Linked DNA regions of Stegostoma tigrinum. The protein of the gene in region 1 binds, or shares a complex with, the protein of each later gene. Links are inferred from orthologs where the notes say so. Each region holds a gene or a part of one and is shown in the gene's direction. Other genes may lie near its edges.

What was found. Proteins that work in one complex are often made in the same cells at the same time.
Region 2: the proteins of inhbab (region 1) and follistatin-A-like are in contact, whole or in part, in a crystal structure (PDB 2P6A), measured with the Homo sapiens proteins. The link is inferred for Stegostoma tigrinum from reciprocal best matches to the Homo sapiens genes INHBA and FST. Residues at the interface, in NP_002183.1 of Homo sapiens: Asp315, Phe327, Asp337, Trp338, Ile340, Ala341, Gly344, Tyr345, His346, Gly360, Thr361, Gly363, Phe368, Thr371, Arg397, Ser400, Leu402, Tyr404, Asp405, Asp406, Gly407, Gln408, Asn409, Ile410, Ile411, Lys412; in NP_037541.1 of Homo sapiens: Trp33, Arg35, Val44, Leu45, Arg60, Phe76, Met79, Asp135, Glu152, Pro154, Glu155, Val180, Val181, Asp182, Gln183, Tyr188, Val190, Arg221, Thr224, Cys225, Arg229, Ser230, Ile231, Gly232, Leu233, Glu328.
Region 3: the proteins of inhbab (region 1) and acvr2aa are in contact, whole or in part, in a crystal structure (PDB 7U5P), measured with the Homo sapiens proteins. The link is inferred for Stegostoma tigrinum from reciprocal best matches to the Homo sapiens genes INHBA and ACVR2A. Residues at the interface, in NP_002183.1 of Homo sapiens: Ile340, Ala341, Pro342, His346, Arg397, Pro398, Met399, Ser400, Met401, Leu402, Tyr404, Asn409, Ile410, Ile411, Lys412, Asp414, Glu421; in NP_001265508.1 of Homo sapiens: Asn36, Asp53, Lys56, Phe61, Thr63, Lys65, Val74, Lys75, Cys78, Trp79, Leu80, Asp81, Asp82, Ile83, Asn84, Val100, Phe102.

Annotation. Positions count from the first base shown.
Region 1 is NC_081358.1:9,313,759-9,321,574, forward strand, and holds the start of inhbab (inhibin subunit beta Ab), read left to right. Parts: upstream 1-4,750; 5' UTR 4,751-5,127; coding exon 5,128-5,515; intron 5,516-6,178; coding exon 6,179-6,942; 3' UTR 6,943-7,816. UniProt on the Homo sapiens protein: Inhibins/activins are involved in regulating a number of diverse functions such as hypothalamic and pituitary hormone secretion, gonadal hormone secretion, germ cell development and maturation, erythroid differentiation, insulin secretion, nerve cell survival, embryonic axial development or bone growth, depending on their subunit composition.
Region 2 is NC_081354.1:127,252,224-127,260,064, reverse strand, and holds the start of follistatin-A-like, read left to right. Parts: upstream 1-4,719; 5' UTR 4,720-4,878; coding exon 4,879-4,963; intron 4,964-6,191; coding exon 6,192-6,383; intron 6,384-6,794; coding exon 6,795-7,013; intron 7,014-7,466; coding exon 7,467-7,694; intron 7,695-7,841. UniProt on the Homo sapiens protein: Multifunctional regulatory protein whose primary function is to antagonize members of the transforming growth factor beta (TGF-beta) superfamily including activin, myostatin, GDF11 or bone morphogenetic proteins (BMPs).
Region 3 is NC_081360.1:83,447,236-83,455,061, forward strand, and holds the start of acvr2aa (activin receptor type-2A), read left to right. Parts: upstream 1-4,704; 5' UTR 4,705-5,177; coding exon 5,178-5,232; intron 5,233-7,826. UniProt on the Homo sapiens protein: On ligand binding, forms a receptor complex consisting of two type II and two type I transmembrane serine/threonine kinases.

The DNA of each region.
Region 1 (7,816 bases):
AATCTCTTTCAAATATTTATTCTTCTCTGTGGCTATAATTGAATCATACCATTGCCCAATCAGGCTATGTGTTTCAACTACTCATTGTGTTAAAAAAAATTTCCCATGTTGCTTCATGTATTTTCGTCAATTACCTTAAGTCCATGAACTTTGTTTATCAACACTTAAATTATTGGAGATAGACTGGAAACAGAATTATCTAAATATCTCGTGCTTTTTGAATATCTCTATTAAATTGTCTATGAGGCTGGTTAGCTTAACTCCCTACATGGCTTACACATAGGTCAGAATAATGCCAAAAGCACAGGTTCAATTTACACTCTGTTTGAAGTAAGCATAGGACCTTATCCTTGCTCTATCTGTGAGAATGGAAGTCAATGACAATTGGAGACAGGGAATAACTTCTGGCCCAGCCACCAACATTCTCATCACTTGATCAATTGGTAGAAACCAACTACCAACAGAAATGTCAAGAAAATGGCTCAGGTTGAAACCGCAATAGGTGATGTGCCTGCTTTTTGGTTGGAAGACACTTAAATGGAACATAGCCTCAGCTTCTCCAATCTATCCACATAGCTGGAATCCCTCATCTCTGAACAATGCTAGTAAATTTCTTATGTGCCTTTCCAAGACTTGAACATCTTCCCAAAGAACGACACCCAGAACAGGACATTATATTCTAGGAGTGGCTGACAGAGTAATCCATCTCAGTTAACATCCATTCTTTTATACTTAATGCCTATACTTGTCAACTTCAGAAATTCACATCACAGATTCAGACAATGGAAACAGCACTGAAAGAGGCCATTCAGCTTGTTGAGTCTGCACTGGCTTTCTCACAAGCTTCATGACTACATCATCCTCCTGCTTTTTCCCCATATACTTGCACATTGTTTTAATGGAAGTAATCATCCAATGCCTTCTCAGAAGTCTTAATGGCATCTTCCTCCACCACACTTCCAGATGGTATATTCCAGACCCAAGCCACACCTCGTGTGAAATAGATTTTCTTACATCCTATGGCATTGACAAATCACTTTACATCTTTTCCCATCTTGTCCTCAAATCTTTATGGGCAGGAACAGTTTCTCACTATTTACTCTATCTCGACCGCTTGTGATTTTGAAAATTGTTCACATCTCCTCTTAAATACCTTACCACTAAGGAGCATGGCCTCACTATCTCAAATATTTCCTTAAAACTGAAATTTCACATCACTGAAATCATTTTCATGAATCTCTTCTGCTCTCCCTCCAATGCCCTCAAGTGCTGGTTCTCAAAGCTGTTCACAATACTCATCTGAGCACTAACAAGTGTCTTGTGTAAGTTCAGCATGACCTCCTTGCCGTATACTCAAATGTCCTTATTAATAAATCCCAGGATACAATATATTATTAACTGCTCATTTCACCTGCCCTGCCACCTTCACTGATCAATGCACATATGCACCAAGACCAGGGTTGGTTAGCTCAGTTGACTAGACAGCTGGTTTTCAGCACAGTGCGATGCCACTGGCTGAAGTAACCATGATGGACTTTTCTTCTTGGATTCTCCACTTGCCTGAGGAATGGTGACCCCTGAGGCTAATCTACCAACTGTAGACTCTTTTTAATGGGAGACCAGTCTTTTGGGTCTATGACATGTTACCTTACACCTAGGCCCTCTGCTCCTGTACTCCCTGTCTTATATTGTCCGTCCACATTCTTCCTACCAAAATGCAGCATCTCACACTTCTTCACATTGAACTTCATCTGCCACCCATCTGCCCTGTCCCATGCCTGTTTATGTCCCTTTGGAATTCTATACTGTCCTTTTCAGTTTACAAAACCTCTATGTTGTGTATTGTCCGAAACTTTGGGAATATCCCCAGCATTTCAAGATCAAGATCATTAACACATGAAGGAAAGGTATGTAATCAGATATTAACTACTTTGTTAATCTACCCTACTATGTCATCATCTAAGATTTGTGCGCAAACACCAAACCTTCTGTTCCTACGCCACAACATGTCCTCAGTAAGATCCATCTGAATAAGACTTCCTGATAAATAAATATAGTCAAATTTGAAGCTGAAAATGCATTCATACTAGATTAACATATTCATTGTAGCTATGAAAATATCTGAACATTCAAACCATATAGTGATAGCTACAATCGAATGCATTGAGAATTTTATTTACATGTAAATTAAATCATGCACATGCAGATGGCCGGTCCATCTTAAAGGCATGCTGTCACTATTCTGTAATGTCAAGTGTTCATGAACGTGGACACAATTAGTGCACAGCAACATGCCCAATAATGGCACAGAAACTTCCACACATCCAGAATAGTAAAATGTTCTCACAATCCAGCACATACTGGGTCATTGAATGGAAACTGGCACAATGCTGGCCTTCATTATTATTTAATCCACCACTCCCAAAACGAAACAGCCAAGTAACAGTCTAAAAACTATTGGGAAACACACTCATTTGTATTTATATATTATAACTACATACATAAGCACATGTACACACCACTACTTGGCACTGTTACAAACATGTGAGTTCATGAAGAAACAAAGCAGCACACAGCCAGCAGATGGAAGGATACATTCACTTTTTTTTGATGAGGCCAATTCCTTTCTATTTGAAGATTCCAGTCAATCTGTATCCAGAAAAGTTACTGGCACATTGGATTGAATTTCCAGAAATATTCGGCATAGCTAAGATCAGTTGACCCATAACGTACTGGGTTAAAAGCTTCATTTTCTTCCACAAAAAATAGCTAGGGGCTGAATAGAATCCATCCAGAGAGTACAAGTGTTTCAACTGTACTCAGAAAAATTAGGTCTTTTTACTACAGCCAGTGAGGCGGAACAGAAGTGAGCGGTTTATGACAATAGGACTACTAGAATATTCGTCTAACAAGCTCTCATTTAGACGCTAAAATAAAACAAAGAACTGCGGATGCTGGAGATCTAAAGCAAAAGCAGAAATTGCTGGCGGAACTCATGAGGTCTGGCAGCATCTGTGGGGAGAGAACAAGAGTTAACGCTTCACACTGGCCGTGTTAGCAACAATTTCTGCCTTTGGTTCTGAATTAGTCGCGCCGTTTGATTGCATTAGTTATCTACAATGTGGCGCTTTTAAATATCTTGGAGTTGGGGTTGGCGGCGGGGTGAGCAGAGTCTGGAAGAGATATTGGAGGTGAAAGACAAACGCAGAAACGTAAAAAAGAAATGAACACAGGGACAGAGAGACGGCGAGGTTGAGGAAGGGGTACTCTCCCAGCGTGATTCGTTATGTGCAGTTTCACTGATATCTTTACGTGAGCCTGACTCAGTCCTTTACAACACGATGACTTAATGACAACCCCCGTGTTTATTACACAGGCATGAAATACGTCGCGGAAGCCTGTCAAAGCCTGTTCTCCAGACCCGGGATTGGAAACTTTAACAAGGAATATTTGACAACTCAGTATCCTTGAAGTGATAGCCAGCTCCGCCAACTGCGAATCCGGGCGCTACCGCCAGAATGGGAAGTGTTCCATCGGGCATTTACAGTTCCGAGAATTTGTTTCATGTTATGAATTTCAGAACCTGAAAACAATGAAGACAAAATAAACTTTTCGCCCCCCTTCCCCAGGGAGCAGTAGCGCCCGGCTAGAAGCCATTAATTGTCACATTCTGTCATTATACGTAGCGAGGAGTACGCGAAACTGGCTTAAATACGTGACCCACGGATGTAGGTTGAACCTCAAATCATTGTACCTTGCGCGAACTGTATTAGCGATGCAGTTTTGCACCAGCCGTTGACAATCTAACCTTTTGTTTTAGTCCTGTTTTAACCCCACTTCTGTGTTTGTTGTGGAAAACTCATTGTCAGTGAATGAACGCGGTCCTTCCGACATTCAGATACGAGTCTCCCCCTCGCCTCTGGTCCTTTTGACGCGGGTCTGTACTGGTGCGCTGGTTAAAATGCAACAAAGGAGAACAGAGAACTCCACTAGCTTGGCATCTTTCACAGACCAAACCCTCCCAACTGGCATTTAATTCAGCAGAAGGTCTACCGCCTAGATATTTAGGACGGGGGTGGGTTCAGCGAACCGTGCTTATTTGTACCCTGGTTATGATTAGAAGCGAGAGTCAAGCAGGTCTATAAATAAACGACTTAAATTATTTGACATTTTAACTGTTGGAAGGTCCCATCTGCACAGAATTCGTGCTCTCTCTCTCTCCCTACGGTAGCTCATACAGTCTGGTAACAGACGCGCTCATCTGAGAGGAAAGAGAGAGGGAGCCGGTCCCGAAATCAGGGCTGAAATGCCAACTGAGTCTGCGGTGTTTTTTTTTAGATTCGCAGTTAAAGTATTTCAGGAATTCCCTCTCCAATGGGTTAAGAGACTGCAAATACGCAGAAGCACGCATACGTCGATTTGCAATCTGCCTTCCCCTCCCTCCAAGCTCCCACCAACCCCCCCCCCCCCCCCAACCTCCACCCCCAGCCCTTGCCGGCTTATTTTTTTTCCCCTCACACGTTTCGAATTGTAAAAGACCAAAATTTCCCTTCCCCTCCTCCTCACTGGTCCTAACGGCAGGAGGAGAGTACGCCTCCTTTTTTATCCACACCCACCCCCTGCCCTCCCCTCGCCTCGCCACACGCAGTCATCTGTTCCGGTCTGACACTCCTGCCGGTAAGCGCGAACTGTGGTCCCTCAAAAGTGAGGCAGCACTCATATTGCAGCAGTTCTAAGAGGGAGTGAGGAACCGGAGCAGCTCTCCAGTGCCGTGCGTCTCCAGCCTTCAGCACCAGGAGGAGCAGAGACAAGAGAAAAAACTTCACAACTTCCCAAGTGCAAAGTTTGCAGGAGCAGAGACAGATACAGGCTGTCCCAGAGAGGGAGAACAGTTTTACGAAAGGACACCTATCTCATCTCTCCTTCTCCGCCGATAGCCCGCAGCAGCAACAGCATCTGTGCCACCTCCAGCGGGAATCGGAACCAGTTCCTGCCCATTTTTACAAAACTTCTGTCAAATTTATTTTTTTTTTCTCTCTCTCTCTCTGTTGTTGTCTGCAAACGATTTGGGGAATTTCTGCCTCGGCCCCTGCCTCCTGGCTGGCTCCCCGATAACCTGTGAAGAAGATGCCTGGCTTTGACCTGTTGACTGCGATGATCCTGCTGCTGTTGGCTTCGAGTTGGGTGACGGCCTCCCCTACGGCCGCTGCCCAGGACGGACCGGGCTCACAGTGCCCGAGCTGCTCGCTGCCCAAGTTGCAGGGGGATCCGGCCGCTGCTGACAGTCAACTCGTGGAAGCCGTGAAGCGGCACATCCTGAACATGTTGCACATGAAGAGCAGACCTAACATCACTCACCCGGTGCCCAAAGCCGCACTTTTAAACGCCTTGAAGAAACTGCACGTCGGACGGGTGCGGGAGGACGGCAGGGTGGAAATCGAGGAGGACTGGTCCAGCAAGTCAGCCCTGAACGAACCCGAACAAGCATCAGAGATCATCAGCTTCGCTGAAGCAGGTAAGTCACGGCAGTCAGCCATCCTCCAGCCTCACACTGGGTCTCCGATTCGGACTAAAGTGCATTGTAAGGCAAATGTGTTTTTATATCTGCGGGATTATTTATTAATGCAACATCCTCTGTGCAGTACGGTCACAAGGGAAAGGGGTTTAAGGATTGCAAAAGATTTAGACAAGTCTGGATGGGGAATAGATTCACTAGCTGTGTTCAAATTATGAAGGGCTTTGATGGATTAAATAAATAGGAAATTGCTGTCTGTGACAATACGCTTTGAGATCAGGAGGCAAAGAAAACAGAGAGGGGAGATTTAAAACAAAAACAGATTTGCAATGCACTGTCTCAAAGCTCCAAGCAGGCAAATTAAACGAGAACTTTCGGAATGAAAATTGATATCAACTCAGAGAGCACTTTGCAGGGTTATGATGAAAGACTAATTGGCAGCAAGTGCAAAGAGTCAGGATGGATTAAACGGGCCGAATAGCTTTCTCCCAGTGGTGTACGACTGTAGGAGCTAAGCCCGGGACCATTAGTATAAGAAATCAGTAGATCGACCAGCATAATCAGTCGCTTTTTATTCATTATTTGAAATTTTTTTGTTAAATCTGCGCTCGGAATGTCCCGCTCTAACAATGTTCATTTGTCCTCGTCCTTTGTGGCTCTCAGGTCCGTCCCAGGACGTGGTACACTTTCAGATCGCCAAGGAGGAGGAAGGGGACCTTTCCCTGGTGGAGCAGGCTAATATCTGGCTGTACCTGAAGCTCTCGAACAAGTCTAACCGGAGCAGGAGTAAAGTGACTCTGAGACTATCGCAGGAAGGAGAAGGCGGCAGGGTGGTCAGCGAGAAACAGGTAGACATCAAGAGGAGCGGCTGGCACTCCCTGCCCGTGTCGAGGACTGTGCAGACGATCCTGGCCAGCACGGATCGGTCCCTCATGCTGAAGGTATCCTGTGAGCTGTGCCTGGAAGCCGGCGTCTCCCCGGTGCTGATAGAAACCGACGTGGAGGAGTCTCACCGGCCCTTCCTGATGCTGCTGGTCCGGGAATCAACGGCGCACACCCACCGGATACGCAAGCGGGGTCTGGAGTGTGACGGCAAAGTCAACATCTGCTGCAGGAAGCAGTTTTATGTGAATTTCCGAGACATCGGCTGGAGTGACTGGATCATAGCGCCGCCTGGTTACTACGGCAACTACTGCGAGGGCGAGTGTCCCAGCCACATCGCCGGTACCTCGGGCTCGTCCCTCTCCTTCCACTCGGCCGTCATCAACCACTACAGGATCCGAGGCTACAGCCCTTTCAACAACATCAAGTCGTGTTGTGTCCCCACCAAACTCAGGGCAATGTCTATGCTGTATTACGATGACGGGCACAATATTGTGAAAAAGGACATTCAGAACATGATCGTAGAGGAGTGCGGCTGCTCATAAACCCCGTGAGATACACATAATGCAGACAGACTCGGACAGAAAGTCACACAGTGAGACAGAGAGAGAGAGAGTCAAAACAGACACATAGTACACAGATCACAGATTTAGGACAGTTCACCGACTGGGTCTCTCCAGAGCCTATAAAACTAACTCTAGACTTCAGACATTTTCACTCGAGGGTCTGGCAGAGCAATGGGTCGAACTGCACCAAACTCCATGTGGCCCTCACAGCCACCCACTTCTCCCTACCTGTGACTTGACACACCTTCCACTCTTACACACAGACACCTGACTTTTTCTGGTGCGTTGGTTTTGTTCATGTTGTGACACTGAATGGCACTTTCAAAGACAAAATGCACAAGATCTAACTTTCTGTTGTTTGAACGCGGGGCAGAGCTTTACCAAGTAGCTGCACTGTTTTCTTCTTTGCAAAACTACTTCCACGTGTGTAAGATGCCTAAGAACAGAACTATGCAATCTCTTTTTTTTAAAAAAAGGCTTTCTTTGGTTTACCTAAAAGGAGACGCTTGCTTCTTTTGGAAGTAAATATTCAGCTGACGAGAGATACTTGAAAGGAAAGTTCGCCCCGCTGCTGGGCTAAACATTTTTTTTAACTTTGTGATCTTTATGCGATTTGCACTAAAACGACGTTTGCCTGTCTAACCGCATCTTAAACAGAAGTGTTTGAAAGGACAGGGAACTGCACTCAGAACAGAACAAAACGAGTTTCTATGAAATTTTGTATCAACGGTCGAACAGACACCAAAGAGATTTGTGTAAATGTTATTGTGTGATTTCTACAAGGATACTATTTTTAAAAGAAAAACTTTAAAAATGTTTTTAAAAAAACCTGTAGATGAATATGGCTGCAGTA
Region 2 (7,841 bases), on another chromosome or scaffold:
TTGGATTTCTGGTCGTCATTCAACTCTATTTATTAACAATGAATATATCAAACAGTCAGGAAAATCGACTAATGAAACTGTACATTTACCTTTCCCTTCTACTGCGCCATTATATGGCATTGCTGTATTCATGAATTTGATATAGTAAATTACAACTTGGATCTGATTTTATTTTTAAAATGTTGAACCTAAAGGTGCTAGTCACGCATCGGTTAGTGCAATTACGTTTCTTTGTTTTTGATTTTTAAAACAATCTTCAGTAAGATATTGAAAGTATGTCAGATTGACTGTAAAAGGGACCTCTTGACACGTACCAAACACCAAGACTTCTTTAGAACTTGTTGACATTTACGACGATATTTATGATGATATATATTGTTTGGGATACTTCGCGTCCCGAAAGTAACACGTTCAGGGAAGTTAAAGGTAATATGTACTTTCCCGTTAGTTTGGTATTATTTGAGGTCCATGTGAGAATTTGCCTGATAACATCGAGCATAACAATCCAATTCCTTCTGTTGAATTATTTGAAATAAATGCTCATAGTGGGGTGCTACTCAATTGCCAAGTTTAGTTTTGACTACTGACAACCTCGATCGAACAAGTGCATCACTTACAGGTGTGATAACGGTTACTCAAATTCGTCAAAAACAATTGTTTTATGGCCTGCGCCATTTCATGAACATGTTTATTTGATACGTAATTTACTTTGTTTTGTCGCTGAACAATTCCAGGTACTCAAGAGTATTAGTCATTTCGTGGCAGTCAATATCTGTGAAAACCAATTTACGAAGTCAGAACCTATTAAGTGTAAACAGTCAGGACGGCGCTCTCTACAAATGCTGATCGATCTATTGTGTTTTTGGTTATTTCCGGCATTTATTAACCGTTTGGTGGTTGATATTTTTCTTATTTTTGTGGATGATTTAATAACAAATGTCTTCCCATGGTTATAAATTAGTAAGGACTTGCCTGATGGTTTGTAAAGCTACGAAAATGTTTAAATTTTCAAAGCACGTAGCAAGCTATTCGAAAATGGCTTTGGGAGGGTATAGAAGCTTTTTTCGAATAAAAGCTGACAAATGTTTGCATTTGTCTCTTAGAGACAGACGACCTAAACCGTTGATTTCAATTCTACCTTAAATGGTATCCAGCAATTAAATGCCAAAGCCCCTCGTTGTTAGTTAATTATTTTTTCCATGCAATCAATAGGCACAACAGTAAAGCTCATTTGTTTCATTTAATTTTGCAGAATATTTGGATATGGATTGTGTTCAGATCTTAGAATTAACTATAGTGTTCTGCATATTAGAAGCAGTAACTAGGCCTATGCTGCTTGACGTATTAGATTATCTAAGGAAATAACCATATTCGTAACCAGCTTCAAATACAAATATATTGATAAATAATATCGTACTCGTATCGAAACAATTCTGGATTGTAGAAGAACGCAAATTCTGTTTCACATTCGGATTGCTGAATGATTGATTAACAATGTTATAGTCTTGTGAAAAGCACCAAATATTGTAAATACCTCGGAGCTGCAGATTAATTGTTTCAAATGCTGTTATGAAATTGACAAGGTTTCTGTTTTCAAAGTGGAAGTAACGGATTGCCTTAAAGTTTTTGATTGCCATAGTAAATTGTTGTTAGTCACCATAACTTAAACACTTTGACTCATATTCTTAATTGCTCAAGTTTAGTATGAAACTCATCAATATCCGTAAAACTTCCAACAAGCACCTGTCGGATTCTGGAAACTGGGTCAAAAATGTGCATGAGCGTATACAACTGTCGTCCTGCAGAGGTCTCACTTCAGTTTCCTTGTAGACGAGCGGAAATTGCATTTCAGTCTCCTTTATTTTCATTCTCATAAATTTCCACCCTCGACATTCCTGTTTCCCGCCCTCACTATCTATCCCCTCACTGGGAAATGATAGCCTAGCGGTGTTATCAGTAAACTGTTAATCCAGAGACCCAGATAATGCTCTGGGGAGCCGCTTCGAATCCCGCTATTGGCAGATGGTGGAATTTGGATTCAATAAAAATATCTTGACTTAAGAGTCTAATGACGACTTGGAATCGATTGTCGGGGAAAAACCCATTTGGTTGGCTAATGTCTTTCAGTGGAGGAAACTGCCATCCTTACCTGGTCTGACCTAAACTCACAGCGATGTGATTAACTCTTAACTGAAGTTACGGATGGGCAATAAATGCTGCGTAGCCAGGGACACCCTCGTCCCGTGAATCAATAAAGGAACTATCTTAATGTGCTATTTTATATTCCCCTTTGTTGCAGCATTTATCCTTGATTTTTCATTACCATTTTCATTACCATTTATGGATAACGATTTATATTGCGCAATACTTGTTTTCTATTATTTTTCACACCCGTCAGTTTGCCTCCAATATTAATCTTTTAAATTTATTGTCAATTCTATGTTTGTTTTCAAAACTCTTGTTTTTCCTTTTATTGTTTTTGAGGATGTAAATTGCTCAGCAGTCGGTATTATTCGCTAGATGTATCAGAACTGGGTGAGATTGTCCAGTTCGTCAGTCCTCAATCTGTAACAGATACTTGATGTTGGATTACAAACGTTGAACATCCAATAGCCAGAGTGACACGCACATAAAACGAAGTAAATCACGAGAATGACAGATGTGCGTAGTTCCCGTTGGAAGGGGATTTCAGAAACAAATACATAGGTATGTGAACAACATTGGCAAGAGACACATGGCACAATGGCAGTACAAATATCTTCATATTGGTAATTTCCACTGCCTATTTAAAAAAATAAATTCTAATATAATGTGATGTCTCGCGTCTACCTAATGTTGTTATCTACTGCTGCGCAGTTTGATTTGGGAATGGTAGGTGTATTTCGGTATGTTTTAGGTTATCTTGGTTTTTTTTACCAGTATCTGCTCAAACCCAGACTTCCTTCGCCAGGTGACAGTTACGTTGACTTTTCACGGTTCTAACTCTACTAACACAGAATCTAGATTTGGCAAGAAGGAAAGTCTCTGGTCGCTTTGGCGAGATAAACTGGAAATCACGATTGGTGCACACTTTAGCTGCAATTGCCTCGTTTGGATCGTTAGGGGGCTGCATTAGTTTTTTTTTGCACGTGTATCAAACCACAATTGCCATGTTGTGGAATAACAGGCCAGGATAATCTGGGACAGAAAATACGGTTTCGCAGCATTGAAAACGGAAATTATTTGCGTGGAACTGCCTTGTGCAACAAGTTTTCCTACTGTCCGCTGGCATGGCACTGTCAGGTCTATTTTGAACGTTAAATAGTGTAACTACTACCACCAGCCTGAGGCACCCAAACAACTGTCTCTGCTAATATTAGAATGATTGCATTTCTGACGATTATTATAAAGAGACTTTAAGAACCTATTGTAATAAGTCTTTATTAAAGGATTACTACTTTATCCCGCAGCTGGTGGAAACTGTCTGTTATCGCGGAGTTATTTCTAGTCAGATCATTGCACCTATCAACACTAAAAAAGTTGTCTGATTGTTTGTACCTATCAGGCTGAATACAATTAAAGTCGGACCGCGCGTTTTATCTTTTTCTTGGGGTGAGGTTTCGGACAGAACGCAATAGCGCCGAAACGGTAATGAAACAAGGAAACGTAATCCCCGAGATAGGCGGCGACAGATCGCCTACGTACTTTTTCTCTCCGCCAAAAGCGAGTTCATTGAGCAACACTAAAATTCGACTTTCGATGTCACAATCTCAAATGGAAAATACGAGACCGCCTACGGCATTTCACAGACATGCGAAGTCTGCTCCAGTTACAGAGACGCGTAACTTTGCCAGATCTGGGTATTAAATCTAACTGCTTTTCCAATACCTACTGGCTGAACACACCCACGGTGTCAGTGTCCTTGGTTTGCACTATAGCCATTTAATACAGTGATGCATTTCCCGAAATACTCAGGTGGCAAGAAATCATTAATATAAATAATAAAACTAAAATACTGGTAATAGTTCAAACTGTAGGAGTCTGCAAGAGAACACTGCAATGCAAAAACCACCCCACGCGCTTTTTGATGCTGAGTTAATGGAGATTAGACATAACAATAAACTCTTTTCAGTACTATCCAACCCTCCGAGACATAGACATGAGACGAAATATCGACATTACGTACACAGGTTATGGGCGAGCTGAGGGTGGAGTTGTCGCTTTACCAGAGAAATTGGATTAGAAAAGCTGGGCGGCATTTACTCTGGCTGCTGTTATATTTTCTTGTGCATAGATTGAGACCAGTTACTTTGACCCACTGATGGTGTCTGGCTTCTATTTTCGGAATATAGCTTGGTTAAAAAATCAACAGGTTAGAATGTCTACTGCGCTGTAGATATAAAGGTGGCCCAATAAGAGAACAAAATAAAGCAGAAGCCTTAATACACCTAGGAACAGTATATTTTACTTCAGCCCCTTCCCGCCCCCGCAATCTTTCTCCATGAGCTTGTACAATCTTGTCAATTACAGAGAGAAATTGACACTGTGACCTGTAACCAGACTCGGATGCCTACGCTCTCGGATGTTATACAGATGTATTTTGTGTTTGTGAAATTGACGGAGATTTTAACTGAAAAGTTTAGAGGAGGCGGTGAAATGTCACCTGATTAAGTTTCCGTCCACCTTAACTTTTTTTTGATCACTTCCTCCTCCCCCATCCTGCCAAACGCATCACCATGCCATCAGAAGACCGCCCACCAAAGAGACCAGCCAAGACCCCTTTCAGCCAAAATATTTAAGAGTGACTGCATTCACAGATTGACGTTCATTCAACACAGCGATCGGACTTGACTGGTGCTCTCAGATCAGTACTTAGCTGCGGTGAAATTGCGTGCCACAATGCTAAGGATGCTAAACAGCAGAACAGCGTCTCTCACCATTTCACTTTTTATCTTCCTCACCATTGGAGACCAGCGAGTGCAGGGTAAGTTAAAGCAGTTTGGAGACCTCTTCTCTGTATACATTTGTGGACATGGCTCTTAGTTTCATGTTCTGTTTGGTCATGTGCCTGCATGTTATTTTCTCGAGTGAAGATAAAGCCCAACGCTGATTCGGTTTATCCTTTACTTCTACTCCAAACTTTTCAGATCAAAATACGATGTAGCACACGTGTTTGTGTACTCAATTCACATTTACCAGAATGTGGCCGTACAGAATTAAAGCAGGGTGCAATTTAGCATTATCTCTGAGCAAATAGTTAAGCATAAATAGGATGTGCTGGGATCCTGATAGTGAAAGTTTACTCGATCACTATTCAGTTAGAAGCAAAGGGGAATTGCTGATAAACAAAACGCCTCATTGATGTTGCAGATGGATCGAACATGTAAACGTCCGATCGAGCTGTTAAATGTTGCTCACATCGGTAACACCATGCGACTGAAGCAGGATTAAGAAGCGAGTATGATAACTGGGTCCAATGGAAATTATTGACTTGTGTGATGTTAAATTTGCCTGTTCTATATTGCTACCTCAACAAAGTCTCTTCCATGTAACTGAAAACTCGATATACAGTATATATTTAGATTGATATCAGGCGGTATCAACAAGAAGTCTAGACTATCCAGAAGAGGCAGCAGAGTTCAGGCATTTTTGGAACGAGTTAATACTACAGAAAATAGACTATGTTTCTATTCCGGAGTGACTGTATGAATAGATTTTTAAAAATCAACGGTTAACACTTAACACATAACCGACGCCGTAGGTAAATACAGAATAAATACAGACGCTTGTCGAATTGTCAACCAAAGTTTGTTTTCGCATGAGTCTGAGACAAGTAGGCCGCCAATCATTTATTTATTTCGGATTTTGCGCTCTGCGTTTTCGCTGTAAGGATGAGTTTTGGCAGTTTTTTTTGTTCCACCGCACGCGTTTACAGTACTTCAGCCTGCGCTGTATTGGGTCAGAGCCAAGTAACTTTCCAAGTGGGACATGTCACGATTCAAAGTAGGCACAAGGTAATGGCAGAGAGGTGTACATTTCAGGGGCAACCCGGTTACTGTCCATGGCGGGGAAATGTCGGTGGTTTTAAGCTCCTCGGTTCACCCAGACTGAGACGGAAAACTTTGAAGTAAACACTCGTGTACCGTCAATACACAGCGCACGTGTTGTGTCTGGAACGGTGAAACTGACACTGCTCTGACTGTGTGTTGCAGCTGGGAACTGCTGGCTCCAGCAAGCCAAGAACGGCAAATGCCAGGTTCTTTACATGACCGGGGTCAGCCGCGAAGAGTGCTGCAAAAGTGGAAGGTTGGGCACAGCATGGACCGAAGATGATGTGCCATCCAGTACCCTTTTCCGATGGATTATCTTTAACGGTGGAGCCCCGGGTTGTACGCCTTGTAAAGGTACAGATTTCACTCGGTCTATCTGATTCGGAACTGTTGGTGCTCATCTTCACTGGATCCTGCAAGGCCTATTAAAGTTTACAGATCGCTCGCGAAATGATTCTAATGCGCGTTTGCTTTGGCTAATCACCCACTCGGTCTCGACTCATTGGAGTGAACTGCTTCAGAAAGACTCGCTGGATTGTCATGGCTTTCTAAGCGGTTTGTTAAGATGGCGACTGAGTCTGCGCTGTTTTATCAAACCTTGCATTAAACATCTGGAAACAGAAAGCTTATAAAAATGCAAAACGTTCTGTCATAAATTACTCAGTTCAGTTAGTAAGAATGGGCATGTAACTTTACATTTCGAACATTATATTGATGCATGGAAGCAATTTCCACAAAACTCTTGTCTTTCTTTCCCTGTAATAGAAACCTGTGATAACGTCGATTGTGGTCCAGGTAAAAAGTGCAAAATGAACAAAAAGAATAAACCTCGATGTGTCTGTGCACCCGACTGCTCCAACGTCACTTGGAAGGGCTCCGTTTGCGGCACAGACGGGAAAACATACAAAGATGAATGTGTCCTGCTGAAGGCGAGGTGCAAAGGGCATCCCGAACTCGAGGTCCAATATCAAGGCAAATGTAAAAGTATGTGTGCAACAAGTACATACTCAATAACACGATTCTGCAAGGGACGAGCCGCTCGCTTAAAGGATGTTTGCATTCCATTCTCTCCTAGTGCGAACTAACAGATTGTTCAACTCACTTGCAGTGTCTATTGAGTGATTCTCCACACCGCCCGCATTTTAACTTTGAATTGATTTGTGTTCAGAATAATTTCCCCCACATTTTGTTCCTAAATTAAATTGCGTTCAGTAAATGTTTGTAATTGGGGTAGTATAGAAAGTGGATTATTCCACCGCCATTTCTTTATTGTTCCAAATCCTCGCCTATTAAATAAATATTGCAAATTTAAAAGTGATCTGTGTTTACTATGAACACTAACTTAAACCTCATAAAATCAGACGATTGTATTGCAGAAGATTACTTCCAGTAGTGCTCACCTCACTTTTGTTTTTAATTGCTGTCTTTGTTTTACAGAATCATGCAGAGATGTCTTGTGTCCAGGCAGCTCTGTGTGTGTGGTAGATCAGACAAACAGCGCCTACTGTGTGATGTGTAACCCGAGGATCTGCCCTGAACCTTCGAGCCCCGAGCAATATCTGTGCGGCAATGATGGGATCACGTACGCCAGCGCCTGCCATATCAGACGCGCCACCTGCTTGATGGGCAGAACCATTGGAGTGGCGTACGAAGGGAAATGTATAAGTACGTACACGATACCTCACAAAGCGTAAACTGCAAACCATTACGAAACAAGTACAAATACAGCGTGGGATGAGTTTTCTTTTTGTACGTATAATTGGAATGCAATGGATAAATGTCAAAGCAAACCTAATGAAGTACATTGGATAT
Region 3 (7,826 bases), on another chromosome or scaffold:
AAACTCCAGTCTGACCAGTCTCCCTCCAGAACTCAAACTCTCAAGCCAAGGCAACATCCTGGTGAATCTCCTCAGCACCATCACATTCTCCTGTAGTGTGGATACCGGAATTGCACACAATACTCTACCTGTGGTCTAACCAATTTATTTTGTACATTCCAGCATATCTTTGATGCTCTTCAACTATGCCTCTTCTAATGAAGGCAGATATACTGTACATCTTCTTCACATCATCCACCTGTCCAGACATATTAAAAGACTGGTGTACATGTATTCAAATGCTTTCTGATCCTTGTTGCTTCCCAAGGTCCCACCATTCTGGAAGATTAAACGCAAGCACACAATTTCAATAGATGCAATGTGTAAAATGGAAGTTGCAAGTATCAGAGAAGATGACCATTTGAAATTATTTGCATTTTTATTTTAGTTATGTTCCAAGTAGTATTCAGGAAGATTAGATTTGGATGCTGCCGTCACTGTTGAGAGTCAATCCTATTCTCACCTTGTCCCTTCAAAAACTCTATCCTGCCAATGCAGGTGGATGCCATCACATCATAGTTTCCACTATTTTCCTGGCCTTCCGCCAATAACAATAGTAGGAAAATTTTGTTCAAGGGGCATACTATGTTCTGTAATTTTTACAAAGTCAGACCAAGTTATTTTTTTATTTGGTCATTACAGCACTTTTATTCTCACTTCTTGGTTATATAAAACTGTACATTTGGTTGTTTTATGGAACTGAAATGAAGAAATGATGATGGAATGTGTGGGGAAAAATTTGCTTCACTACATGAGCCCTGAATACTTATCAGTCAGTGACCAGAGAATATGGTAACAAAAAAGTTGACTTAAGATCTGACCATTGTTATTTACATTCACTTTTACAAATAAAGGAGGTCAACCCAAATAGCACCCTTTTTCACTGTTATAAAAATGTCTTTTCTGTGTTGATTTGGTCTGGTTTTTGATGAAAAATACAAACCAGAAACACTGACGCTCTTTCTCTCTTGACAGATCCTGCCACACCTGCTGAGTGCTTCTAGCATTTTCACCTATGTTTATATCTTATGCTCCTTTTCACAAAGGAAAATTTAACCATTACAGGAACATTGCATTGACAAACTCAACATTTACAGGCATTAATGAAACATTTCATTGGCTCTGACCACGTGTTATTTAAAAATGCTGCAGATTTAAAATTGCTTTCAAGCATTGAAAAGATTACATCTCAATTTTATTTTGGTTCTGATGGTATACTGTCATGCCAAACCTACCTGACAATTTCCCAAGAAATGTGAAGTGTTACAATAGAAGGTAAAAGCACAATGATAGCCCTTATTCATAAGGATTATCAATCTTTAGGTTATTTTAAAATGTAATTAACCCCTCAGTTTGAAATAATTTATACAAATCACAAATAAGCTTTCATAGAAATATTGCAACTTAAAAAACATCACTAATTCCAACTTTGTAACAACACCATAGTTCTATATACACAGAATCTCTACACAGCAGCTCCCCTCCATGACTAAAATTCAAATCGCAGGCCTCAGAAGTTATCAATCAAGAACCTATTTTGGTCTTAAATACACTCAATGAGTTGGTCTCCAAAGCCTTCTGTGGCCATGAATTCCACAGATTCACCATCCTCTGGCTAAGAAAATTCCTGTTTTACTCAGTTTAGAAGGGTCTTCCCTTCATTCAGAGACCCTGCTCTCAGGTCCTAATCTCCTCTATTGCTGGAAACATTACCACAGCCCCCTTATCTAGATCTCTCAGTATTCTGAATGTTTCAATGAGATTCCATAGCCTTTATGCCAAGCAGGGATAAATGAATGGAGAAAACAAAGTGAAATGGGTTTGAATGAATTAGCAGGCAATATCATCACTCTTGACTGCTGTTAATCATTGTCCAGTAACCACTGCTTTTATCTGGCATTCACTTAAAAGCAGTTATGGTCACACAGTATTAAAGGCACTAGATAAAATGCAAATTTTTGTTGTTGAATTAAGCAGTGACAGCGTCTAAGATTGATTGGTTTCCAAACTGACTTGACTCAGATCTAAAGAATAATTTAAAGTGGCACACCAGAATGTGGCCAGTACCTTGAGGAACATAATCCCTGGAGGCGATGTATTCTGAACTTTAAGAAAGGAAGGAAGAAAACTGGATGAGGTTAAAAAAAACTTCATAAGTGTTTTGTAAATAAACTGGTCATAATGAAGATTGAAATTTATCGGTGTTTTATTGTCAAATGGTGTCAGCTTCCATTTTGCATTCTGAGTTGTTACATAGAACAAAAAAGCAACTCTACACAAGATACTGGATTTTTAAAAAAATCCCAAAGTTAACAGTTTTAAAATATTTGCCTTCTTTTCCATCTTAATTATGATATTCATGAATGCATGTTGAATTTCCCACAAGATTTCATCAAAACATTAAAGATTAAAAGAATAATCAAATAATAGCTCAATTGAAAGAAAAGCCTTGTTTTCTATTTATAGAAATAGCAGTTGAGGCTCCCCTCCCCCATGAATTGTTTTCCTCACCCTTCTCATTTCTTAACGCTTGTTAACTCCCTGTTAAAAAGGTAGCAGCTGCTGTCTCATACCAGCTCAAGAAGCCATTATCCACGTATCAGCCTTCATAAATATCAAGTTAATTGATCACCAGGCACAGCTGAACCTGACTTTCTTCTCTCCCCCGCGTAACGTGATAACCCAGGCACCCTCTGCAGGTTCAAAGCTTTGATGGAAATCAAAGACATTGAACTCGAATGTAGCAATCCGACTAGAGAAGTAAATCTGTTGCCTATATCTTTATCAGAATTTCACTATTCTGAACGTTACGGAGGATTTTCAAACTGCTGACAGACCAGTTCTCAGGTTGGGGTCAGTGGCGCGGGATTACATATCATTAATTACCATTACTGGAATGAGAAGCAAGTAGTTTGCTTGGCGCAGAAACTTGATAGACAATGTTGCAGGAGTCGCCATAACATTTTCCAGAGGATGATTTAGGAAGTGTAGGTCCAATGTGGGAAGGTATTACATTTAAAGTTTTAACAAATGATAAGAATAGGTTTAATTAGTAGGAGTGACAAGTGTGGGGTTGGCAGAAAGACAAACATATCGAGGTAAAAAGAATGTTTCTTATCAGCCAAATTATGCCAGTTGACTGTCGTCATTCTAAGGTTATCTATTTTACGACCCGATTTTCTTTTACGTGATTGGTCACCAATGTTGCTGGTGATCAAGTTAATGAGACCTTAAACCATTACACCCCATCGACGCAGAAAAATATTTCAGCCGAACCAGTTCGCCCATACCACTCCTACAGGTCGGAGTATTAGAATTGAATTGCACTTTTTGAAAAGGTGCAATCAGAGTGCAACGGTATTTTTAAAAAAATTAGTTTAAGCTTTGAAGGACTGATTGTTGGGGGGCTAGTTTACCTAGTGCATAGTGCATTTTTCAGGTTGAACAAACTTTGTGTAACACGTGCACCATTTCTGAGCAGCACTTATGAATCACTATCGAGGAGCTTTGTTCAATTACTCGCTGAGTAAATCGAAGAATTACAATTACCATCAGTACATTCTTCCGTCGAGCGAGCGGCGACGGTAGCCGGAAAAAATAACTCAGAAGTGGAGTTTGCCACTTACATATGAAGTACGTGACTGTGCACCAAAGTGACAAAAATTCTAATTGCATGCACCATCAGAAACTCCGAAACAGTAATAACATATGTTTAAAATAAGTTCCGGATGAATCACAATACCGAAGTCTTTAAAACAGTGGACTGTGTTGCAAACTCACGACTGGGTACTAATTAATTTGATATGTCACCCTCAGAGCCCTCACCTTCACTGTTAGGAGAGAGAGAGCCGCAACATTGGGCTGACACGGAAATAATATATTTCGACAAGAGACTGCTATTCGAAGAATATTTATTACCCCGAATACTGACTTAGCTTAGCCTTTAACTTGGCTAACAAGACGACTAAAGCAGGGAAGGAACATTGGGGCATCTCAGCAGGCAGGTGCAACAATGAAAGATGCAGCAACTTCAAGGACCTTTCAAGCTAAGATCAGCGAAAAGTTACAACTATTTTGGAGTCGGATTGCATTCCGACACCATGCGCTTTTACCCTACCCACTCTACATATCTTGCGCATCGCTTCCAACCAATTAGCAAAATTCTTCTTATCGGATTTGCACGGCAAGTCTGGAACTTCCTCGCCCAATTAATAAAGCCGCAGCTCTCGATTGCTGGAAGCGCACGTCAGTCATTACCATCAGGCTAGGTTTGAACGCTTCGCCTCAACCAACTTGCCGGCTTTGCTCCACATCTTTTCCCCCATCCCCCGCCAAAAAAAAACACACACACACATATATGCAGTCACGCCTACCTGCTGGAAGGGGATTGGTCAGGATCCAATAATAAACGCGCCTTTTTTTCGCAGGAGGGTGGAAGCGAATTTGTACAATGCAGTGAAGGTCTTCTACTGGTCTCACAGGACGTCAATCACACTGACGCTTGAGACAGGCGGAGCTGTGACTGGTGATGGGCGATGCCAATCGGGTTACGTAAACCGCCTCGCCCCACCGCTTCTCGCTTTTGCTCTGTTTAGGAGGAGGGCCTGTTCGCGAGCTCGTACTGCCGTTTTTTTTGAAATCCACCTCGGGGCGGGGGTTGGGGGTGGGTAGGGGGAAGGAAACAAAAACAATTCAACGCCATTTTGGACTTAGGCCTACTTCGTTAATTATGAATTCCGGGAGACTTCGAGTACACCATTCCCGTCAAAGGAGCTGAGGGTTTGCATCGTATGTTTTCTTCCACACCCTCTACTTTTTATGTGAATGGCGGCTGTTTTTTCTTCCTCCCAAATCATCCCTTGTTGGCGTTATCGGCTCTACACGTCTATGTATTTTGTCAAACAAAAAAACATTGACAGCCGAAGTGTATGCTATCGCTTAAATTCCCTACCTTTTTGAATGAAGTTGCCCACTGAAGAAGGGGGAACGTTTGCTACAAGGTGGATCGCTGCCAGCAGCAAGTCAGAAGACGTGGTGGAGTCGTAAAGATTTTTTTACCCTCGGCTGCGATACAGCGATCGTTGTGTTCTAATTAATCGGTTTTTGTTTTAAAAGAAGACATATCAATAAAAAAAATCATGGGAGCTGGTACCAAGCTTGTTTTTGCTGTTTTTCTGATTTCGTGCTCCTCAGGTAGGTGATAGTTTTTATTGGGCTCTCTTACCCCAGAATTTTTTTAAACCAGTCTTTCACGCACGTAAATCTTAAATAGCATGCGATTTTTTTAAAATTGTGGATGTTGCAATCGAACCTCGCAGCAAAAAAAAGCAAGCTCGTAATTTGGCACAATCTATTTGCTGTTGGATGAGTAAATTCAGCCAGTTTGTGGCGTGCATGTGCTGAGTTTCTGTAGTGCGGTGTTGGTGTTTTACTTGTAATGTTATACCAACAAGCTCAAGGTGACTGATCGGAATAAAGGCAAACTTACTAAATACATAGATAAACGGCCAAGGGTTGACTTTGGTTTCATTTTTTTCCGGAGTATTGCTAGTCTTAAACTATAAGTGACGTTCGATTTAAATTCATTACGTACAATTTTTTTCCGTGAAATTTGTACAACTTAGTAAAATCAACCCCTTCAAAGTACACTTTTTAAAAAAAAAGTAACTGAAAAAAATGGGTGTTCCTATTGCAATCTGTTGCAAAGTGGAAAATCAGTCCTTGTATTGAACGACAAAGATCCTTAGTGATTTTAAGGTGAAAAGTTTTCATTTTTCCCTGTACCTTCCTTTTCATCCTTCCCCGTCCCATGAGAGTAATTGTTTATGAATATTGTAAAAGATGACAGATGAAGCGATAGTTGTACAAAGCATCTCCGCCTGTTTAATTAAAGTTTTGTAACAAGTTACATTGCAATTTTGTTCAGAAAATTGATTTGCAGATATCGTCAAATGCAGACCTGTTGGTGAAAAGGTCGCATTTAATCTGAAGTGCTTATGTACTCTTTTTTAAAGGTTTCACGATCGGCTTTGTAACAGCAGCCATCGTGAGTGGTCCATTTTCATTTCAGAGCTTCGCCTGCTTTGTTATTTAGGAAATATTACTGTGTTCTGAGTTTTATACTACTTGCACAGCAATCATTTATGCAGAATAACGAGCAAAACAATATTCGTGTTGAAACTATACAGTTTGCACAGTGCAAAGCCCAATTCTTCATTTCATGTGAATGTTAAATGTATAAAATTTGTGTCGATGAGATGAAAGTCCATGACACGTAGCTGGTTTATGCTACGCATCTTCTGAGTATTGAGTGTTTATTTTCAATCGTAGTCATTAGACGACTTAATCACTATTTGGAAGTTGTTGTCAGATGTTTTACGGTAGTGAGCTGGCAGTTTCTTGGGCATTTCATTTTGTAAATTCCTTTTGCTCTCTTTTTATCTTGGTCTGCAGAAGGCACAAGTGTGCAATATTTGTATGACTACATTGACACCTTGTAGAAAGTATTTTTTCCAAAATGTTTTAGTGTAGAAGAAAAAGCTGGTTATAGATTAATACAATACAGATGCCTGATGCCCATTTTTGTAGTCAGTTATAACATTCTCCATTTGTGAAATATTTTGATGTATGTAATCTTGATGTCCAGATCTTTTTTTGTGGAAAATAATTGTTGCCGTAACAGAACTGTGAATGATGTGCTTCTGTATAATAAGAAAGATAATATAAAATAGTGCTGACAAAAATCTATGCTAAATTGGCTTTGCCAGCATTCTGTTGTCGAATTTAGCTGTTTATAAAAGAAACTACGTGTGAATTTACCAGATGTGAACCTCCCTGTTTCAGCAAGTAGGCTCCAGCGCAATTATCGAATATAATTAAGAATATCTGATGGAATTTATTCATTAATTGTTTTCTATGGCGAACATTGACCTTTCTAGTATTGAATAGCAGTTGTAACTTTTTTTACGAGGCAATGTTCTTTATGGTTGATTTGTGTTTTGAGTAGATCCTTTTTGGAGGTATGTGGTGGGAAACGTGGCTGTACAAGAGACTTGCTCAACGTTTTTCACTCTAGCAAAATTGGCAGACAGGTTTATTTTTTAATGTGTGTCTTTAGAATTCAGGCTGAAAATTTGAAATAGCATACTATGCATAAATTATAAAGCTTCATTTACTAAAAGGGCTATTCTAGGAGCAATAATTTCAAAGCTTTTTAAGTGTAACTGAGCAAGTAGTTTATTGCAATGCTTAACTTACTGCATTTACAATGGCTAATACTGCTCTAAGCCTGAATGTAGCCAGCAACCCATGTTTAACATTTAGATTTCATATTTCTGTAGGATTTTTAAATATATTTAACAACTGGAAAATACTGTATCTATTATTCAGAGGCCATTTCTAAAGTCAGCAGTGGTCATTGAGAGGGTTAGTATTTTGTTTTCTTTGCTCAAGTTTTGCATTATTTTGTTTTGCATACAAACTGTTTTTCAAGTTACTAATTGTAGGATTCTCGAAATTTTGCCTTTTTAAAATTAATGTGGGTAATGGAAATCAATTTATTTGGCATCAGGTAAATGTGTGCTGATTTTAAGGTATTGTGATATGTTACGTAGACTTTCAGAAGTGTGATTGGATGACTTCAACTTCTAAAATAGGACTTTATCAGATACAGCATGCCTAAGTTTGTGAGATCGTCCTGTAGAGTAAAGGAAGAACTATTTTAGGTCACTGGGTTTAGCATTGCAGTGATGAAATGGTGTCATAGTCTGCTTGTCCACACAGAAGTG